Drosophila melanogaster: one gene and its partners. Changing the gene in region 4 together with the main gene of any one other region gives a genetic interaction. Each region holds a gene or a part of one and is shown on either strand. Other genes may lie near its edges.

Region 1 (4,937 bases), 6.9 Mb from region 4:
GATAGCGCTGCCGCCTCCCCTCCCTTCACCTTTTCACTGCCACTACTCTGCTCTCACGTTCTCCGTGTTAATTTCGAATTAGTATAGCAACAATAACCGGCCGCAAGGTGTAGTGAAGATTGTTAAATTAACGGATCTTTACTCTTTATAACTTAAATTTAGTCTGCCCCCGAATAATAAATATGCCCAATTGCAGACATGAAATCTCAATTCACTAATTAATAAAATATTAGCTAAAATCCCAATTCGAATGCAACTAATGGCTGGTATTTAATTTGCAGCCATAACTGTATTCCTCTGGCATGCCAATTTACCGTTATTAATTATGAAGATCATGCATTTACATGGCTATTAATTATATACGTTGTTATGTATGCAGACTCACGCACACACAGGCATAAGCACAAGCACACGAAAACATACATATGTATGTACATGCATGCTCACTAACACCCACACAGATACCAAGAGCTAATAAAAAGTTTCGCTTTCTTTTTGCACATCATTTTGCATGCGCAGTAAAAAGGCAGGGACAAGTGAAATAAATACAAATAAATAATGTGCGAGTGTGCAAGGTGTTAAGCAACAACAATTGCAATAGAGGGAAAAAAGTGAATCAAAAGCCAGAAAAAGAGGAAGAACACGAATTTTGTGTATTAAGCGGCAGTCCAGAGAGAGAAAGAGAGAGTCTCCCACGGTGTGTGTGTGTGTTGGAGGGGGATGCTGCTAGGGAAAAGAGACTGAGAGTAAAAGCCGGCCTGAATCCGAATAACAGCTGTTACTCACAGACACAATCCACATGGAACATCTCTCTTCATCTTTTTGTTGTTGTTGGTCCCATGGATGCTTTTTTCTAGCCGGTTTTATTTTCTCTATCATCTTTATTTCATTTGGTCAATTACACACACTTGGCTTCTTTCTTATGAACCGCAAGGACCGAGACAGAAGGCAGCCACTTAATTGCACACTTACAGAAATGAAATAAGGTAATAGTAATATAAAATAAAACGGCTGTAAGCCTCGCCTTAGCTTTTTTCGTTTGAGAAAGCCAAAAATAATTGCCAACTGGCCAAGTCAAGAAAAAGAGAACGAGTAAAAGAGAAGGCGGCTTTTTGTCCAGGGAGAGGCGCACAAAATGCGTCGCAAAATATTTCGCCCACAGAAAACTGCAAACATAATGAAAGCCCGGGAAAGGAAAAATTATTGCGTGGGTGTGGAATATCAATGCCGGCAAGGAAAGCAGAATGAATTCCAGGGAAGTCCCCTTTGCGTTTCATACACCAAAATTTTGTACATAATGTACAAAACTTCATTTCGCCTGGCCATTTACGCGATGACGCATTTAGAGCCAATCGAATATTGTGTACTCACAAGGCCTGATAACAGGGGCCACACATAATGTACACACTATGTGGTGCAGTCGTCAAGTACATGCACAGATTAAAGCGGAAAACTGTTGATGCAAGTCCAATTAACCCGACGAAACTGGTAGAAGTAACCGGCAAATTCAAGACCACAGAAAATATTAAAGAGACAAATGATCTGAGATTTTAAAACATTTAGATCACTTTAATTTGTAAAACAAACACATTACCTAATTATTACATGTCTATTGAACATTTCAGTTGATATTTATGACTGCAGTGCAGCTTTAATTTTGCATTCCTCAGTATCCACGTCAACACAAAAACGCCAGTTAGTTGGCTAATATTGTGCTGGACGGTTTTACACAATTAATTTTAACTTGAAATGTATTTTTGTCCATATCTTCGAAGAAAAACCACGAGTTCTTCAAACTGTTACCTGCACTGTTGTCTTAACATCTAGTAAAATGTTAATCTGGGGGGCGCCATAAAGAAATCGCCGCCGACTTTGGGCAAATAGAAATAAAAACTGATGGACTCCGAATTTTCGATTCGTTATCTCTGAAAACTGGAGCGTTGGGGGATTGAATGAGTGAGCGAATGACTGCTATTCACCGTATCGGTTTTGGAGGTTATTAGAGGGCTTAGCCCAAAATTGAATGATTAATTGATCATCAAAGGTGAGGTGGAAACTCCCTTTGCTTCTTTTTTTTTGTCTTGTTTGAATACGCACCTAAAAATGGAATTTTTGTTGGTTTTACTTGCTTTCTATATATCACACGCAACCACAACAAATTGCTCTGCTTTTTTTTCCACCGCCGCCTGCTTCTTCTTGCTCTTTTTGAATATCACACACGTTTCATATTTGCAAATTTTTCATTTTTTTGCGGGCGTTTTGCCTTTTCTGTCGGTTACTTTTTGTATTCCACGTATAATGTGCTGCTGCTTCTTACTCGTTTGACTCAGTCTGTGTGTGTGCGAGTGTGAGTACGTCGGTGGTGTGGGAACTTTTAACTTTACTACGCGACGTTTTCGTTTCTCTTCTTTATTCTCTATATATTCTACGATTCTGTGCGTGACGTCAGCAGTTCGAGCATTTGTTGTAGATATCACATAATTGTTACACGCCCGCACTTTTATTTTATTTTATTCTTGATTTTTTAGAGCATTTGCTATTGCTACTCAGCGACTTGAATCTTTTACTTGCAGAGGCAGTCTTTTGCGGCTTTTTGGTTTTTCTCTCAGTTTTCCATTTTCACATTTTTGCGGACTGGCGACGAAAAGCGAACTGAACTTGGGCCACAAAGTGTGTTGTGCCGTGTCTTTTTTGGAGTCGCCGTCGCCGGCAAAACGCAATCCACACGCGGAGAAAGAGAATCGGAGAGACACGAGATAGAGAGAGAGAGCGAGAGAGGGAGTCGTCTTACGTCAGACGGAGAAAACGTAAGCACCACCGTAATGGCACTTTTAATACCGGCCACTTACGCTTAATTAGTGTATTAAACCACATTAACTTATCAATACCTCAGTCTTGTACTCTTTTCAGTTAGCTTTTCTATTTTTTTTCGGATTTTTCCGTCGATTTTCCCCTCGTAACGTGTTTTCTGCTCGCACATGTGTGTGGGGGCGGCAGCGGCAACAGCAGCGTCACGACGCGACAACAACACTGAACGCGGCGAATCGACAGAACAAGCAACGAGCCACAAAACGCACGGCGTCTCTTGTAGCGGCGAATTTGAGGCGTCAGCAGCTGAGCGCTCGCGGCACGAGAGAGTGAGAGCAGAAGAGAGTGGATCGTAAATTGAGTGGAGACAAAACTGATCAAACGATAGCTATTCGATATTACGATAGGTTGTCAATTCAAAAGGGAACGAATATTTTGGGTTATTAATATTTTGCAATGAATAAATACATTTGAGTGTTAAAAGAAAAATATAATTATTTATAAGCGAAGTTAAATACCTATAACAGCGCTGTTAATCACTTCCTGAATTGTTTTTTAAATGCTACATTATTTTACCTAATATCAGCTTTTAATTAAATCTTTGGTCCAAGTTTTATTTGAAGTTTTTAATTTTAAAATTCTGTTGATATAAAAACTAATGCTTGAAGCTAAGAGAACCACGCTAATTGCAGCGAATTAGCGGCAACAGCTGAGCACGAGAGAGAACGAATGTGGAGAAGGGGGCGGAAAGCGAAAGCGCAAGAGGGTGGAATGTGAGTGGCGCCGCTTCCTACTCTTCACATGTGGCATGTGGAAGCCAGACTCGAATGTTCGGTGAGAGCGGCTTTTGCTTTTGGCCCCCAACCCTTTTCGCTCTCTTCGGCTTGCCGGCTACAAATCGGCTAAAAATCGCTCAGACGGAAGTGGCGACGTCGCTGTTACCGCACCCACATCAACAGCGACGCCGGCAGAGAACCTTTCCCCTCCCGCTCAACCAACCGCTTCACCATCTTCTTTATCTTTATCAGTTGTGTGCCAAGTGTTGCATTGCGTTGCAGTGACGACATTGTTGTAGTTGCAGCAGCACAGCAGCGTTGCCGATTTTCAGCGCCCCATCAACAAGGGGTACACTTTTTAAGGCCGGAAATAGGCATTAAATGGGTCTATCGCATAACTCGACACTGTCGCACACAAATCTATTAATTTCTACGTATCATAAAAATTATGCCTGAGATTAAAGCCAAGTATGCTCATCTCACAGCTCACAGCTTAATCATATAATATACCTTAAAGATTTGCAACTTTATAGAGAAAAGTTAGTATTTAATTAAGTAAATACTAACTGAAGTGTAAAAATTCACCTATTTGCTGAGCAACTGACCTGATTAAAGAAACCTGCTCAAACATTTGACTTTCCATTCTTATATTATTTGTTATTCCACTATTAATCTACTTTAGTGCAAAAGCACTTTCTACTAAACAAACAATACTCATACATTCTGGAATAATGCAAAGTTTGTACTCATAAATATCCCAAAATCGCTACCATGTCACTTTTTCTAACAACAATCTGATTAAATATTTACAACTCATGCCCGCTGCCATTTGCATTCCTGGTTTTGTGTGCACAAATGTATCTCGCAAATCAGTACAACTTGCCAGGCGATCTGCGCAGTGTTTCCCATTCCCATAATCCCAAGCCCAGTAACTGAGAAACATCCCCCCCCCCTCCTACCAGAAATGTAATCTCCTTTCCAGTTTTCGATTTCTATTAACTTTTTAGGCAGTTTTTTTTTTTGGATTCGAGGCTGTTATCCTTTGGGTTTCTCTTGGGTGGGTTGCTGAGGCGAGGACACTCACAGATCCGTGAGTGTGATTTTTTTCACATTTCCCATAAGCCAGACCGGCAGACAAGAAGAAGAAGAAGAAGAATGAGAATACGAATATGAAGAAGAGGGGCGAGAATCACCCCTCACGGACGCAGAAAGAGAGGAAGAACTTTGGCCCCTGCGCCTGCCCCTTCCCCCTTCCCATCCCTTGCCCAACACATATGCAATTAGAGTATCTCTATGCTTGATTTTTTTTCAACCATTTTCTGCAAGATGGTTTTTTTTTTTCGCCTACCAGAT
Region 2 (4,968 bases), about 17 Mb from region 4:
GATGATTTGTATTTAATATTACTATATGTGTATAATTAATGTGAAATATAATTAAAACGAAAAGAACGAAGAATGAATTAAGCTTGTGCGACGAAAACACTAAATAGACCTGCTCCTAAATTTGTTTCTCAACGGCTTTTAGAGCCGCAATTATACTCGGAACAGGTCTGAGTCTGAGCTACATACTAAATGTAAATAAATTAATTGACGCGTACACTACACATAGATAACAACAGTCGATCGACGAGTTCCCCGGGCGTGAAAAATTTGCATCTGGACGTCGCCGCATCAAATTCTCGACTCCAGCTCCCGGAACTCGGCAGGATCCGTGAAACGTACGGTCAAAATATAGAACAGTGTGGGGAAGGGCACCAAGCACATAAAGGCATAGTGGTAATTCAGGGAGGTGAGGCCGTAGGCCAACAACATCCAGTGCACAGCTGGGAAAGTAAGCTGCTGGTATACTTTATGTATGGTGAATGCGCACTTTGCTTACCTATGATGACCACGTTTTTTAACTCCCACACCGACGAGTGAACCAATGCCTTTAGGGTTTGATCCAGTTTGAGGGAATAGTGGATGGCATTGGCTACCATGGATATGGCCACGCTAAGGTACGGAAAGGAGTAATCTGAAAAAGAAAAGATCTCAAGACCAAAATATTAGCAAGCACTTAAGTACTCACAGATCAACCCACATCCTAACGCATGGATAAAGGTGAGCAGGGGCAGGAAGTAAAGAGCCGAGTAAATCGGCGCCTTGCTTCTGCCCCCCACATCCATAATTTTGCTGACTAGCGGGCGTATGAGAAACATGTTCACCAGGCACAGAAAGTAGAAAACCAGCACGATGGTTTGCCTGGAAATTGAACATTAAAGTGACTATTGTGAACACCTGGAGCCTTGGGTGGCTGGGTCTTACAATGGGTAAACTGCCTCCTGGGTGCAGTAGACTCGTGCCTCATAATTGGGGCTGGGGTTGTAAAACAATGTGTACCAGTCAGTAAGTTTTCGAACATCACAGGCGTAGAGGCGCAGCTCCCACATGGGCTCCATTAGCAAGGTGGCGAGGATGGCAGATATGGCAACCTCAACGAAAGCGCTGGCCGTCAAGATCAGCTGCTTCCGCGAAAACCTATGTGAATTCACTAAGTAAGTTCTTCTTCCAGTTTGATTAGTTCACTCACTTGCGATCCTTGGCGTCCATGTCAATGAAAAAGCAGTGCATCATAAGTGGCAGCATGGTCATGAATCCCAGGTATAGCCAGGAGTACGTGCTTAACTCGTCGCGGCATGGAGAGCATGCGTAACTTTGGTTCACCTGAACAATATAAAAGTAAATTATTTTCCAGGCGCCGTTCCGAAGGATGCTAGAACATTAACCCGAGATCCTCTGGGACAGACCCCGCAGCTGCTCCAGCTGTTGTTTCCTAGCGGTGATCGCCCACAGTAGGCTCCTGGGCAGCGTTCCAACGCGTCGTACATTCTCATGAAATCAAAACAATTACTTCGTATTGTATATTACATTAAACAAAATAAAAACAATACTCCTATCGATATCGGACTTATCGTTATCAGTAGGACCACTGAATAAACGAATAGGTTGTTCGTGCACTTAAATTAATACTAATTTATAAAATGATAATACATCAGAAGCACATGCGAAATGTATTAAAAATAAGGAAATTATTTTCTACAGATTATATAATGGGCCCTAAGACTGCTTTCTAATTTGATCAAATTAATAATACTATATGTTTTTATATATTTATTTACAATTAAACATGACTAGTAGAGTGTACATTCTTACAGTGCATTTCAATGATTTGATTTTATTTGAAATCCCAATTGCCAGAAATTTAAATTTAGGGTCCCTTATATGTACCACATAAACCAGTTCGATAGGCGCGCTTTTGGCATGGCCTGATAACTCTGGTAAAAAGCACCGCGCGAACCGGTTCAATTCATAACTAGTTCGCCCGAACTGCACAACCCTAGCAAAAGAAATAGCTTAAATATAATTTATTTAACGCGAATTGGACAACGAGCGGGTAGAAAAAACCCTGTGGCCGCAACCGCGACGCTCGCAGGATACGCAGCTCTTCGCCGTCGGGCAGGCAGGTAAAAAGCAATGGCAATTGGAGTTGACCGCAGAACAACAGCAACGGCAGACGCCATTTTGTCTATTGGCCGGCTGATTTGTAAGCTCAATATTCGCGAAATAGTTACCGCGACTAGCTTCGAGTGGCGCAGCCAAGTAAGGGCTCCCCGCTGTCCAGAGCAAAGGCGAAAGGAAGAGCAATCGCCCATTTTGAGGCCTGCGAAAAGTTGGGACTCGGTCGTCAGTTCGCTCGATTCCATTTGCGAAAAATAAATGTACGTGCGCGTGAGGAAGTGTGTGTGCGCGTGAAAAAACAGTGAAAAATAATAAAAAGCCGCACTGGCCGCCGTCCTTGGGTGACTTCCGTTAATCTCTTACAACTTTTAAAGCTATAGAAAGAATGTGAGCAATTTACCGCCCTCGACACACCCAATGAACCGCTAATTTTGGCATCTTTCTATAACTTTATGCGTAGTTATTTTCACCACCCTTCGCCTACACCCTTTCCCCGCCCCTTTTTCCACCAGTGGCTCCCACCCACCGACCGACATTCCGCTTAAGGATGATGCCGGGCGGAGAGAGATAGAGAGTGAGTGCAAAATCCGTAAACTTGGACGTGATGTAATTTTCGGCAGGAAAATGTTCTTTGTTTGCCCAAAAAAATAACAATAAATAAATAAGAATGAAGAGCGAGGCGTAAAACAAAAACAATTTTAAATTAAACTCAAACGCACACACAAAAAGAGAGGGTTCTGTGGGTGAGCGTGCGTGCGTGTGAGTGGGTGAGAGCGTAATTTGTGTGCTTTTGGAGCATTATTTGGCGCTTGCTGCCCCGTCTATTAAATAATATTGATTTTTCATATTCCAACCCAGCGCTCTCTTACACACACGCAGGACCACTCACACACCCAAAACTGAGCTTCGTACACATGTGGGCCTTTTCGGTCTCTCTCTTAGCGCTGTATTTATCCGCCTCTTATTGCCTCTTTCGCTTCGTTGCACTTTATAGATTTTTGCAAACTGGCCGCTGACCAGGCATTGGGAAAAAGGACAATAAGAGGGAGCCCAGAGCAAGAAGTCCAACTAACCGACCAACTGTGCCTCAAGAAACAGCAAATCAGCGGGGAACTCCCAAACTGGACAAGCAGAAGCCCGGATACCTCACATTTGCCATAAGACACCAGTCAAAAAACGACGCGCACTGCAGAACGCATTAGGATTAGCCCGGCACTAGAGCTCGTGCATTAACATCCGCTTCCGGTGCTCCGCAGAACGAGTTGGCTGGAGAGGATACCCCGCCACCATGACGTTCGACACTCGTAGGCACACCACCGGACAGCCGGGAAGCACAGCGCCCAGCTCAAGCAGCAGCACCACCAGCACAACAACCACCACAACGAGTCCGGCGCAGAGTGCCGGATCAGGATCGGGCATAGGAACAGGCACAGGAACAGTCGCCAACTCGAGTCTGCCAGGAGGAGGATCAGGTAGCTTGGACGGCAACCAGGATCAACAGCCGGCCACAGACAGTCAGAGCTCTGATGACGTGGCCGCTTCCTTGTCAGCGAACAGCGTGGACAGCACCATCACAATAGTGTAAGTGGTCGTGCTGCCGTATTTGCATGACTCCGCCCAATTAGTCGGGTTTTGTGCGTAGCACCAGTATGACCGCCACCCCTAAAGATCCCCAACATTCGTGTGTTTACTTTTGCGTAGTAATTCTTCCACATGCATTCTTTGTTTGTCTATGGTTGGGCCAGCACAATGTTCGTAATTCATTTAACTATGTTTCAGATGATTTTGGCCAGGCCACTGGTTAGTGACCATAAATGTGGCAATAAATGTTATCTTTCTTTTTCTTCGATAGGTGCACTTGGCTGCTGTCCAGTTTTAGCAATGAACTTACCAAGCTTTACTAATATTACCTTACCCGGCTATTACTATCTCATTTTGAATGCCCGTCCACGGCCTATCTTATCGCTTGTCCATCAAAATAAGCTAACACTGAAAATTACAAAAAAAAAAAAAAAAAAAATGTATGCGTTTTGGCATTTATTTTAATAGAAATAACCATTTAATAAACAGAAATGTTTATGGAAGGGTGTGCTTTGATTGACCCCCTAAGAACTTTTTTTTTTATGTGTATTATTTAATTTGTTATTTTTAATATTGAATAATTGTCCATTTAATTAAATAGGCCTCCAGAGAAGCTTATATCCTCGTTTCCCACGACGAAACTGAGATCACTAACGCAAAAGATATCCAATCCGCGTTGGGTGGTGCCGGTGCTGCCTGAACAGGAATTGGAGGTTCTCTTAAATGCAGCCATCGAACTGACCCAGGCTGGTAAGTGTGTCCAAACGATTTATTTGATACCCTCTAAAGTCAATTTATTTGCAGGTGTGGATCACGACTGCGAGCCATGTGTGGAGTTTTATCGCAATGGACTGAGCACTTCCTTTGCCAAGATCCTAACCGACGAGGCGGTGAATTCGTGGAAGAATAACATCCACCACTGTATCCTTGTGTCTTGCGGCAAGCTTCTACATCTAATCGCCATCCACATGCAGCGAGACAATCCCTATCTGCTTGACTTGCTGGCTATTGTTTTTGATCCGGAGAACAAGTTCAACACATTTAACGCAGGCCGTCAACCGGAGTGCTTCGCAGCGCCGGACTACATCTGGGGTCAGTTGGACAGCAACAAAATGTACGCCCGTCCGCCGCCGGAGCCCAAGAATGCGCGTGGCTGGCTTGTGGATCTTATTAACCGCTTCGGACAGTTGGGAGGCTTTGACAATCTACTGGAACGGTTTAACATCGGACTGGAACTGCTGAAGCGCAACCAAAACAAGTGCACTGGCAAGA
Region 3 (4,863 bases), on a different chromosome or scaffold from region 4:
TCTTCGCTTCGGTGGCGGAGGCCAAGAAGGCCACCGATCCACATGCCACCGTCATCTATGTGCCACCACCGGGCGCTGCGGCCGCCATCATCGAGGCTCTGGAAGCGGAGATCCCCCTGATCGTTTGCATTACGGAGGGTGTGCCGCAGCACGACATGGTGAAGGTGAAGCACGCCCTCATCAGCCAGAGCAAGTCGCGATTGGTGGGTCCCAACTGCCCGGGAATCATCGCCCCCGAACAGGTTCGTACATCTCCAGCGCTTGAGAGATAAGCTTGGCCAGAGGGCAAAGTCCACGTTCATCTGGTGGTTTTCTTATCTCTTGGTATGACGCTCGCTTTGAACTACATATATCTGTTTACTATTCCGTTTTCAATTTGCTTATTGTTAATGTATAAACAGGCCTCCATTGACACACCCTTAAATTTGGGCATTGAACTTTGCACCTGAAGTTGGTGGAATTTGCGGACGATACGTTTTTTATTACCATTTATAACGCTTATCTTTCTATGCGTCACAAAACTTAGTGATTACCCACTTCACTCCACTTTCAGTTAAGTCAATTGTATAATCTTAAACTATGTTTTTTCTGATTGCAGTGCAAGATCGGCATCATGCCGGGTCACATTCACAAGCGCGGCAAGATCGGCGTGGTCTCGCGCTCGGGAACCTTGACCTACGAGGCCGTGCACCAGACCACGGAGGTGGGTCTGGGCCAGACCCTGTGCGTGGGCATTGGAGGCGATCCGTTCAACGGAACCGACTTCATCGACTGCCTGGAGGTCTTCCTCAAGGATCCCGAGACCAAGGGCATCATCCTGATCGGCGAGATCGGAGGCGTTGCCGAGGAGAAGGCTGCCGACTACCTGACCGAGTACAATTCGGTATGAGAAGCCATCACGGATCAATGTATTTCATTGCTAAATGTTTTTGTATCCTATTGCAGGGCATCAAGGCCAAGCCTGTCGTCTCGTTCATTGCCGGAGTGTCGGCGCCACCCGGCCGTCGCATGGGTCACGCTGGAGCCATCATTTCCGGAGGAAAGGGAGGTGCCAACGACAAGATCGCCGCCCTGGAGAAGGCCGGCGTCATTGTGACCAGGAGTCCTGCCAAAATGGGCCACGAGCTCTTCAAGGAGATGAAGCGTCTGGAGTTAGTGTAAATAATTAAAGGCCATAACCAAACCGGAATCCGTACGCCGATCAAAGCGTATACGCAAACTCATGATGATGAACCTAACGTTAAGCTAAAAGTGTCGAAAATCGAAATTGCATTCGAGCGAACCCAAATAAATTATTGTGAAAAATTACTAGAGAGAAACGAGAGGCGTTGAATTGTGACATGTATTCCAAGAATTAAGTTAACTACTGCCGTACCACCAAGTTGAACTAAAATAACTCGCACCAAAACCAAGATTTCTAATTGTTATTGCACTCGGCTCATTGTTTGTGTTGCGAACAGATTTTTGCCTTAATTTTAAATGCCTGCTCGAATTATCAATGCGAATTGTATCTGAATGTGTAATAAATATGCATAAAAACAGGATAGATGTGGTGAATTTTCGTGGTTTTAGCTATACAAGCCATATCCTTTGAAAATATGAATTTTCAGGTCAATTTATTTAATCTAAACTAAAATTCTTTGGAGAAGAATTAACAAAACAATAATTTATGAAAAGCAATGCTTACCATATTAAAAAAAGATTTAAGGAAATTTAAAAAAATGTAGTTTTCTACTTTCGATATTTAATGGGATCGACTTGCAAACATCAAGAGCACACATCGATAGAGCGGAAGTTTCGATTAACTCGTGAAATATCTGGCAACATTAATATCGAACTGCCATCGCTTTTTGTGCCAGCTCTAATAAACATATATATGTTTTAGGGCCGCGATTGAAAATGCGTGCCACAAAGGCCTAAACAAACTTGGAAAACACCGCGAAAAACGTCAGAAGCTATAGTGCCGATTCGCATATTGTTCGCCACCCCGGAAAAGTGTGAAAATCGCAGATAATCAAAAGGGAGAGCAACCAAAGGAAAAGCAACAACAACGACTCGCCATGGGCAGCAGAACTGAAAATGGTGAGTTTCTAAGAAAATGTCCCTAAATTTCGTTAGCACTGTCCCTTTTCTCGCAAAGCGTGTTGGAAATGATGTGAACATAATAATATTAGTGCGCTTATTATTACTATTGCAACATTTTCGGTTTTTGCAGCCGCCGGTTGCGGTTGCATTTTAAAGTGCACTACATACGCACACACACACATGTGCACATACAAATTTATCACCTCGCATGTATGTATGTATGTGACGGAGTAGTGCATGCCTTTTAGTAGGGCTGCCGGGAAGGCCCCGTTATCTGATTCCGGGTATGTCTAATTGGAGTTGTTAGTTGGAATTTTCGTTCGCCGAGGAACTTTATTGAAAAAAAGTTGTAGCATGGCTAATACCAGGAGTTCATGGCCTTGACGCTCGCAATACATAGTGCTGCATTGAAAATAATAAATTATGGGATTGTTGGTAGCAGATTGGTAGCTTAATTGCTCACATAATTCTTCGATTTAATATTATGCCAATGCTTCCGTACTTTTAATATAATATATATTCAATATCCTACTTTAAAAAAATATTATTATGAAACGAGAAATATAGCTAGAAGTATTATTCTTTATTATTCTTTAGTTTTAAGTTTTTAAAATGTTGATCCGAAATATCAGGTTGAGTTAAAAGTAATGTAAATGTAAAATATATTTTACAAACAGCACGTCATTATTACTTCGGATATGAAAAACCACTTAAGGATGCGTCCTATCTATATATTATGTAGATTTTTGTGTATAAGCTTTAGGATAAATAGTTTTGAAAACTGTTGCTGCTGCTGCAGATCGATTACAAAACGCCGAAAAATGTGCGTTCCAGTTCGCTAGGAACCCTCAACTTCTGGTGACATATCGCATTCTTGCAAACATTTTTGTAAGTTTTCTTCCTCTTCGCGTTTGCTCGATTTATAGAGAATGCTTTTGTTTGTGTTTAAAATAGATTCGAAATGGCTCTTTGGCCTGCGTCCGCCATTGTCGGCGTTTTCGAGTGGGTTTTATTGAAAATCTATTTTGCGAATTATCCGACCAGCCCGGCTATATCCCCCCTCCCTCCACTTCCCTGGGCCTTTCTCACATTTGTCTCCAATTCTCTTACATCGCTGGCGTCGCAATAATGTCGTCAGTTTTTTGTTTATTCGCTCTCCCAAACACCGAAACACGCAAAAAATAGTTCTTATTTTTGTTAAATCCACACAAATTTTCTTGAGTGAAAGTGAAGATTTTATCTTATTAGTGATTGTAGCTTCTATCAAAAAGTGTGAGTTTAGGAAAGTTTGGGTTTTGAATATCTGGACTCATTGGTCTTTCAATGCAAGTGTCCACTGTACTTTATAATACAATTTATACTAAAAACGTCGCTGTTTTGTTTTCGTCTGTTTATTGTTTTATTTGGATACTCGCATCTAATGATTCCACCGATGATGACCGATTTTCGGTCGATGATGCCGTGATGAGGATGATGTATCTTTGCTGATGCTCTAAACGAAATGTCGTCGTTGTCACACAATGTTGTAGTTGTTTCCTTAGTGGCTGCTGCTACTTAGTTAGTCGATTGTGATGCGCTCGGATTCGCTTCGGCCTTCCGTTTCGCACTCATTACACAAACAAAAAAAGATTGAACACAAGTCTTACTGCAAAAACTCGCGAAACCGAAGCATTTTTCATGCGAGAATGTCGAGAATTTGTGTAAATTAATTTATTGCCTTCGCTCATGCCACTTTCTATATCGGATGGCATTTTATTTGCATTTTTTGAAACACATTCTGGCAGGCGTACATCTTTTGATTTCGCATTTCGATATTTCAGCAGGCAAACTCCTGTTAGTAGAATTTTTATTGAGTTAAAAAAAATGTAACTTGTAATTTAAAGCAAAATTTTTATAGTCCACATAATTGAATATTGAAAAACATTGGTTGTTTTCTACCTTTCCAAAGAGCTCATCTGATGCCTTGAATAAATCAGGAAAAATAAATATACTCGTGCCCACAAGCGTTTTATGTTTTGAAGGTAAAATTAAAAAAATTATTTTTTTTATATATATACACTGGGAATAATTAATATTTGGCTGATTACTTGTCAACGAAGATGCGCTGTACTTTATTTAGTCTGCTGCTTATGAATAATCGCCTGTGATAAGAGCAGACACATCACATCGGTTACGCCAGTTTTGTTTTTGATTTTGATTTGGCTCAAAGAGCCCCATCAGTTCCACACACCTGCCCCACCGCTGTCCTCTGTAGATTCCGCAGACAAAGTTGCGATGCCAAGCAAATTCTATTCCCGTAGAAGCGAAGGAGGTGACTGGGTGGTGGCTTTAGGTCCGTGCAGATGCTTTTTGCATATTTCATAATTCCCGCAGATGGCCTGAGCGCGGGGAAAGCCGAAGACAACAATCAAATGGCCCCAAATGTCGGCTCCCAGGTGCCCCTTTTCGTATGCAACGGGCATGTCTCATATGCCAAATGAATGAATGATTGAGGAGACTGAAAGTCTAGCTCTCTTCTCCTACTCCTATTAATATTTTCCCTTAAGCTATGAGCACCATTTAGCCGTTTACAGGACATCTGCTAGTCAGGATTCTCTGTTCGCCAGCTGTGCTTAGCTCGGCTTTTTCTGCGCTCTGCCGCAGAACTCAATGGCTGCTTAACGTGGCCTTAAAAGTTTTGGCCGTCTGTCACGAAAAAACCAAAGCAGAAACGATAGCTGACAAAAGTTTAAAGATTTTAAGATATTTAGCTGCTTGATAGTAGACATTTAGATGTGT
Region 4 (4,603 bases):
GTGGAGAAGTAAGAGGAGGAGCAGCAGGAGGAGGAAGAATGAAGGAGAGTGAGAAGACTGAGCTTCAGTGTATGCGTGTGTTTGTAACGGCACCACAAAATCAGAGTGGAGCACAACAAAAATAGCCGTCGCGAAAAACACCGTGTTTCTTTGCCCCATCTCACTTACTCATTTTGGGAATTGTACCTGTTGAGCAAAAATAAATTACAAGAAATTGTTACATTTCTTTTTTCGTTGGGAGTCGGAGCGGTTATGACTCATATCAGACGAACAAATGAAGTAAAAACAAACACGCACACTTGTGCACAGCAAGAAAATTCGATAATATTATCAATATTAGACCAGGTGCACTACCAATACAAACTTCTATTTAATTCTTATTCGAATAATTAATATTGTGAACTTTAAGAATTGGTTCAGTAAGACTAAATGCCATATGCATTGGTTCTAAAGCCCATTTCGTTCAGTGTACGGTTCAAGTGAGCTCCGATCGGCGTTTAAGCCGTTCTCTCTCGCTCTTTAACTCTCTTTTTTGGCAAATGAGGCCATCTAGAGAAAAAAGGCTTTTGAAGAATTGACCACAAAAAGGGGGCGTGAGTGATTTTAAGAGTTTACTACAATGTATACTTTTATTTCCGGTTTGCCGCTTGCCATTTCGTTTTCATTTAGGCAGGCATTAAAATGTTATAATGGATAGAAAACTACGAAAAACGAGGAAAACTCAATGGCCATGACGCCGACGCAGGCAGCGCTGCTTTTGTCGAGACAGTCAGCAGACCCCCGCCCCACACATTCAAACACAAATACACACCACGCTCACACATACGCATAGATATGAACAAATTCCGCATTCGCTGCTCATTTTGTATGTAAATTATGCTTAATTATAATTTATAACTAATTATTTGGGGGCCCCCTTTTGGCTGACGGTGTTTTGCAACACTAAGCCCCGCTAGCACTCACACACTTGCGCTCTCTTTGGCTCTGCCCCATTGCGCGAGCGGGACCGAATGAGGCCTCAGCTGTCGCGGGCAAAGGGAATGCGCCAGGGCCAGAGCGAGATGGCATGCAATGGCCATAGCCAAGTGATGGCGAGACTTTGTATTTGCGAGCGTTTTAATGTGTGTGTGTGTGGGGTATGACTATGATAACCGGCTTCAAACGTAAAAAAAGATCCCAATTTGCCAAGTAACATTTCCACAACTTCGAGATATTACTAATGCTTTTGAGGAAGGCTGGGATGACTTTGAAAAAATATCGGGTTGTCAGGGCCTTGAACATTGGGGTGTAAAAAAGCATTTACTGGACAAGGACAAACGACGCGCAGGCACTTTAAAAATAATTATCGAAGCACGCACGCTAGAACCACTCTACCTAAATACATATATAAATATATATGCTTGGGGGCAGCACTATTTCTGAATTATCAGCGCAAAAAGTAGGGTTAGGTTAATTTTATACGCTTCTTGCTTTTGCTCTGTTTTATTTTTTGCTGGATCTTTCTGCGGCGCTGGCAGTGTGTGCGTTTATGTGTGACTGTTGCGAGGCTGAGAGTGTGTGCGAGTGCCGTGTACAGCGTGTATTGGGTAACAGCGCCCGTAGAGCTGCGAAAACTCCGCCGTATAGTTGCATTAATGTAAATGCATCCAGGTGCCCGGCACACACGCACACAAACAATGCACATTTGCATTGCACTTTCACGCACACGCATCGCACACACACTTATCCCACACTCTCGCAAAAGTAACGGAAGCGATGACTGCACTACACGTTGCCTTGCCCACCACACACACACATCCTTATACCTTTTTCACCACCCTCAAAATTTCTAATCTGCTCCTAATTACTAACTTATTAATTAAATGGTAACTCCACAGCTCATTTTCTCCCTTCCCTCTTGCACGCTTCTTTCCCCCCGCTTCTTCTTTCTTCTCCTCGGTTACTACCTACGTTTCACATTTCTTGCATAAAATTTTTCTCCCGTTGAAAACTGATGTCTGTTCGCTTTTTTTTTAGACTATCATTTTGGTGTATCGCAAAGGGTTCTGTTCTTTCTTTTTTTAGTCCGTTTCGCAAAGTTTTTTGAGATATTCCTTTTTTCACATACCTTATTGATTCTTTTTAACGCCATTTTCTGATTGAAATTTGATTTTCTGGGTTGTGTGTGTGTTTGGTTGGTTGTGTGTGTGTTTGGTTGGTTGTGTGCTGGTGTTGGTGTCTCGCGTATTTCTTTTGTTCTTCGCACAGAATTGGGTTTTATTCAATATATAATCCTCCTGCTTAGAATTGAACGAAAAACGAAACACAAAGCTGCGTTGCGCCTCTAGAACTTTGATGCTTAAATATGGCTCTTTCGGTTGAGTGTCCCTTGTCACGAAATAAAGCAGCACCAGCGCACTGCAAGTAAAAACGGCGACCCGACGAAGACTACGGCGACGATTATTTTTTCACAATCAATGCGGGGCCTTTCGACCGTTTGTGCGATAGAGACGACCGTTAGTGAGCTGAGAACGCAACGAAGCACAATCGTTACACCGAAGTGTAAGCCCGAGCGAGAGGAATGGTGTGTCTGTGTCGTGTGGTAGTGTTGTGAAGCGGAAGTCCAGCAGAGCAGTCCAGCTATATGACCTTTTCGCTAGGGGTGGCCAGATCGATTGGGTGGCAACGCCTTTTAGGTGAGGGATGAATCAGTTAATTACAATTTGATTGCCAATGCAAGACTCTTCATACTCACTTTAGTTCGGGAACAGCCAGAAGAAATAGTTTTACCGGCAGCGAGGAGGTGTTATATTTTATTCGAACTACCTTCTTATCGATGGTGCGTGCGCCCAAAAGCTTGCAACTTGTATGTAAATTTGTTAACACCCAACGTGTTGCAGGCTGCCGGAATGTTTTTACTGAGCAATTTTGAGATGTTGGTAATCCGAGTTCTTGAAAACTTTCCGACTAGCTACTGAGTTCTACAACTGAATTGACAGGGCGTTATTTTAAAATTTAAATTCACTCCAGAGCGCTGGTCTGGCAAGGCCGACGTGCCAATTCAGGATACTTGTCGATATTTTCCGTTGTGCTATCGATAGTTTTTGGGAATAACAGGCGTTAGTAGATTTTTAGTATTTAGATTTTATTATCATAAGGATGAAAATATTTTTAACAAAATAAACTGGTTCATTTAATTTAACTTTTTATTTTCTCACTACTCCAAATGGCGCTTCCGCTGTCTGAAACTGCCGTTATAATAGTATGAACAGTTAAAACAATCGACGGTAGCTGAATTTAATCAATGCAGCCCTCTTACCCTATACATCGATAGTATCGCATAAACATCGATTTTGGTTCCAGCTCTAACTTTAACTGTCTGCAAAATATTTCAAACAAAAGTGTTTGTTAATTAAGTAATATACTTAATATTAGTGGCTGTTTTGCTTCGACATTGATCGAATTGCGGTTGTGCAAGTGTTTTGTTTGATTTGTTGGCGTGTTTTTCCTAGTTTGGCGGCCCTTTGAACTCGTTCGTGTATCGCCATCTCTCTCCCACCCCCGCAATCGGCTTCGTGCGTATTTTTTTGTGAATTTTTACACAGAACTCACACTTTTGTATGGCCCAAGAATTTGTACAATATTTTTGCACTTGAAAAACAAGAAATAATGAAGAAAGCCAAGATAAACGCGACGATGTGCAAGTGCTAATCATTCAGTTTTGGCAAGCGCTGAACTTCGCTGACTTCTTGAACAGCAAAAAAGATGGAGGAGGATAATGCCAAGGTCCTAAGTAATAACAACAAGAACAACAGAAACAACAATAAGGGACGCCAGCAGCTGCAGGGACACGCCCACAGCTCCGCCACCGCCCACGCCTCCGTCGATATATTTATATTCGATTTATAGTAGCTGTAGTTGTAGTCATGCCAACAACAAAAACGCAAACACAGACAACAACAACTTGCAGCGAAGAGGAAGAAGCGGCGATAATACGAGAAAATTGCGATACGCCAATGGCGACCCCAGCAAATGCAACAACAGCAAACACAACAACTGCAGCACCCATAACAACAACAACAACAACAGTAAATACGCGCAGACAAGAAGAAGCAGCAGCAGTAGCTTCCACACCTAGTGTTACGAAAACGGCAACAACAACAAACATACTAGCCGCTGCAGCGGGATGCCACAAGCCGTTATTCTTCAGCCGCCGCTTTCAGGACAAACGGAACTTTAGCTCGCTACCGCTCTTCGTCTACGCGACCTCGCCATCAACGCACGCCCACTCAGCGGACGGAGTAGGCGTGGCCAAGGAGGCAGCCGCGTTTTGCCACAAGGTGAGTTTGTTGCACAAAGAACCAGATAAACTTGTAATATTAGGAGAACAAGGAACTTCTATAATTGCCAATCAAATATAATATATCCCCTTTAAGTTATGTATTATAAAATGTAGTATTTTATTTAAACTTTGATAATGCCATTTGTATGTATTTAGATTTAACCCCAAAACAGGAAAAGAAAACCAAAAATAAAGAATTCTGGTTGGAACAGAGAGTTTCCAGTTCGAGGGATTCGTTTGGCATGTCACAGAATTGTAATTGTAATAAAACCCCCATGGGTT

Evidence for each region.
Region 1: of eff (region 4) and E2f1, changing one suppresses a phenotype caused by changing the other (phenotypic suppression), as found in Drosophila melanogaster (one study listed by BioGRID).
Region 2: of eff (region 4) and faf, changing one suppresses a phenotype caused by changing the other (phenotypic suppression), as found in Drosophila melanogaster (2 studies listed by BioGRID).
Region 3: of eff (region 4) and enc, changing one enhances a phenotype caused by changing the other (phenotypic enhancement), as found in Drosophila melanogaster (one study listed by BioGRID).

What each region holds. Positions count from the first base shown.
Region 1 is NT_033777.3:21,630,036-21,634,972, forward strand, and holds the start of E2f1 (E2F transcription factor 1), read right to left. Parts: upstream 3,039-4,937; 5' UTR 2,889-3,038; exon of another isoform or gene 2,098-2,888; intron 1-2,097. UniProt on the Drosophila melanogaster protein: Transcriptional activator that binds to E2f sites. Required for wild-type growth in mitotic and polytene tissues, Contributes to the expression of replication genes at the G1-S transition and Cyclin E.
Region 2 is NT_033777.3:31,775,063-31,780,030, forward strand, and holds the start of faf (fat facets), read left to right. Parts: upstream 1-1,957; 5' UTR 1,958-2,120; intron 2,121-2,180; exon of another isoform or gene 2,181-2,502; intron 2,503-2,575; exon of another isoform or gene 2,576-2,689; intron 2,690-3,109; 5' UTR 3,110-3,403; coding exon 3,404-3,696; intron 3,697-4,297; coding exon 4,298-4,446; intron 4,447-4,500; coding exon 4,501-4,968. Other genes in the region: CG2126 (uncharacterized protein), read right to left, coding at 289-440, 497-631, 686-858, 922-1,134, 1,187-1,320, 1,383-1,490. UniProt on the Drosophila melanogaster protein: Ubiquitin C-terminal hydrolase involved in development and the imd/NF-kappa-B (IMD) signaling cascade. Required for eye and embryo development, and plays a role in compound eye assembly and oogenesis respectively.
Region 3 is NT_037436.4:3,816,839-3,821,701, forward strand, and holds the start of enc (encore), read left to right. Parts: upstream 1-1,840; 5' UTR 1,841-2,079; coding exon of another isoform or gene 2,080-2,082; intron 2,083-4,863. Other genes in the region: Scsalpha1 (Succinyl-coenzyme A synthetase alpha subunit 1), read left to right, coding at 1-242, 599-883, 946-1,161. UniProt on the Drosophila melanogaster protein: Required for the regulation of germline mitosis, karyosome formation, and establishment of dorsoventral (DS) polarity of the egg and embryo. Involved in proper grk mRNA localization and translation in the oocyte.
Region 4 is NT_033777.3:14,738,273-14,742,875, forward strand, and holds the start of eff (effete), read right to left. Parts: upstream 3,048-4,603; 5' UTR 2,735-3,047; intron 2,669-2,734; 5' UTR 2,132-2,668; coding exon 2,108-2,131; intron 1-2,107. Other genes in the region: jvl (javelin-like), read left to right, coding at 3,906-4,319. UniProt on the Drosophila melanogaster protein: Catalyzes the covalent attachment of ubiquitin to other proteins. Mediates the selective degradation of short-lived and abnormal proteins.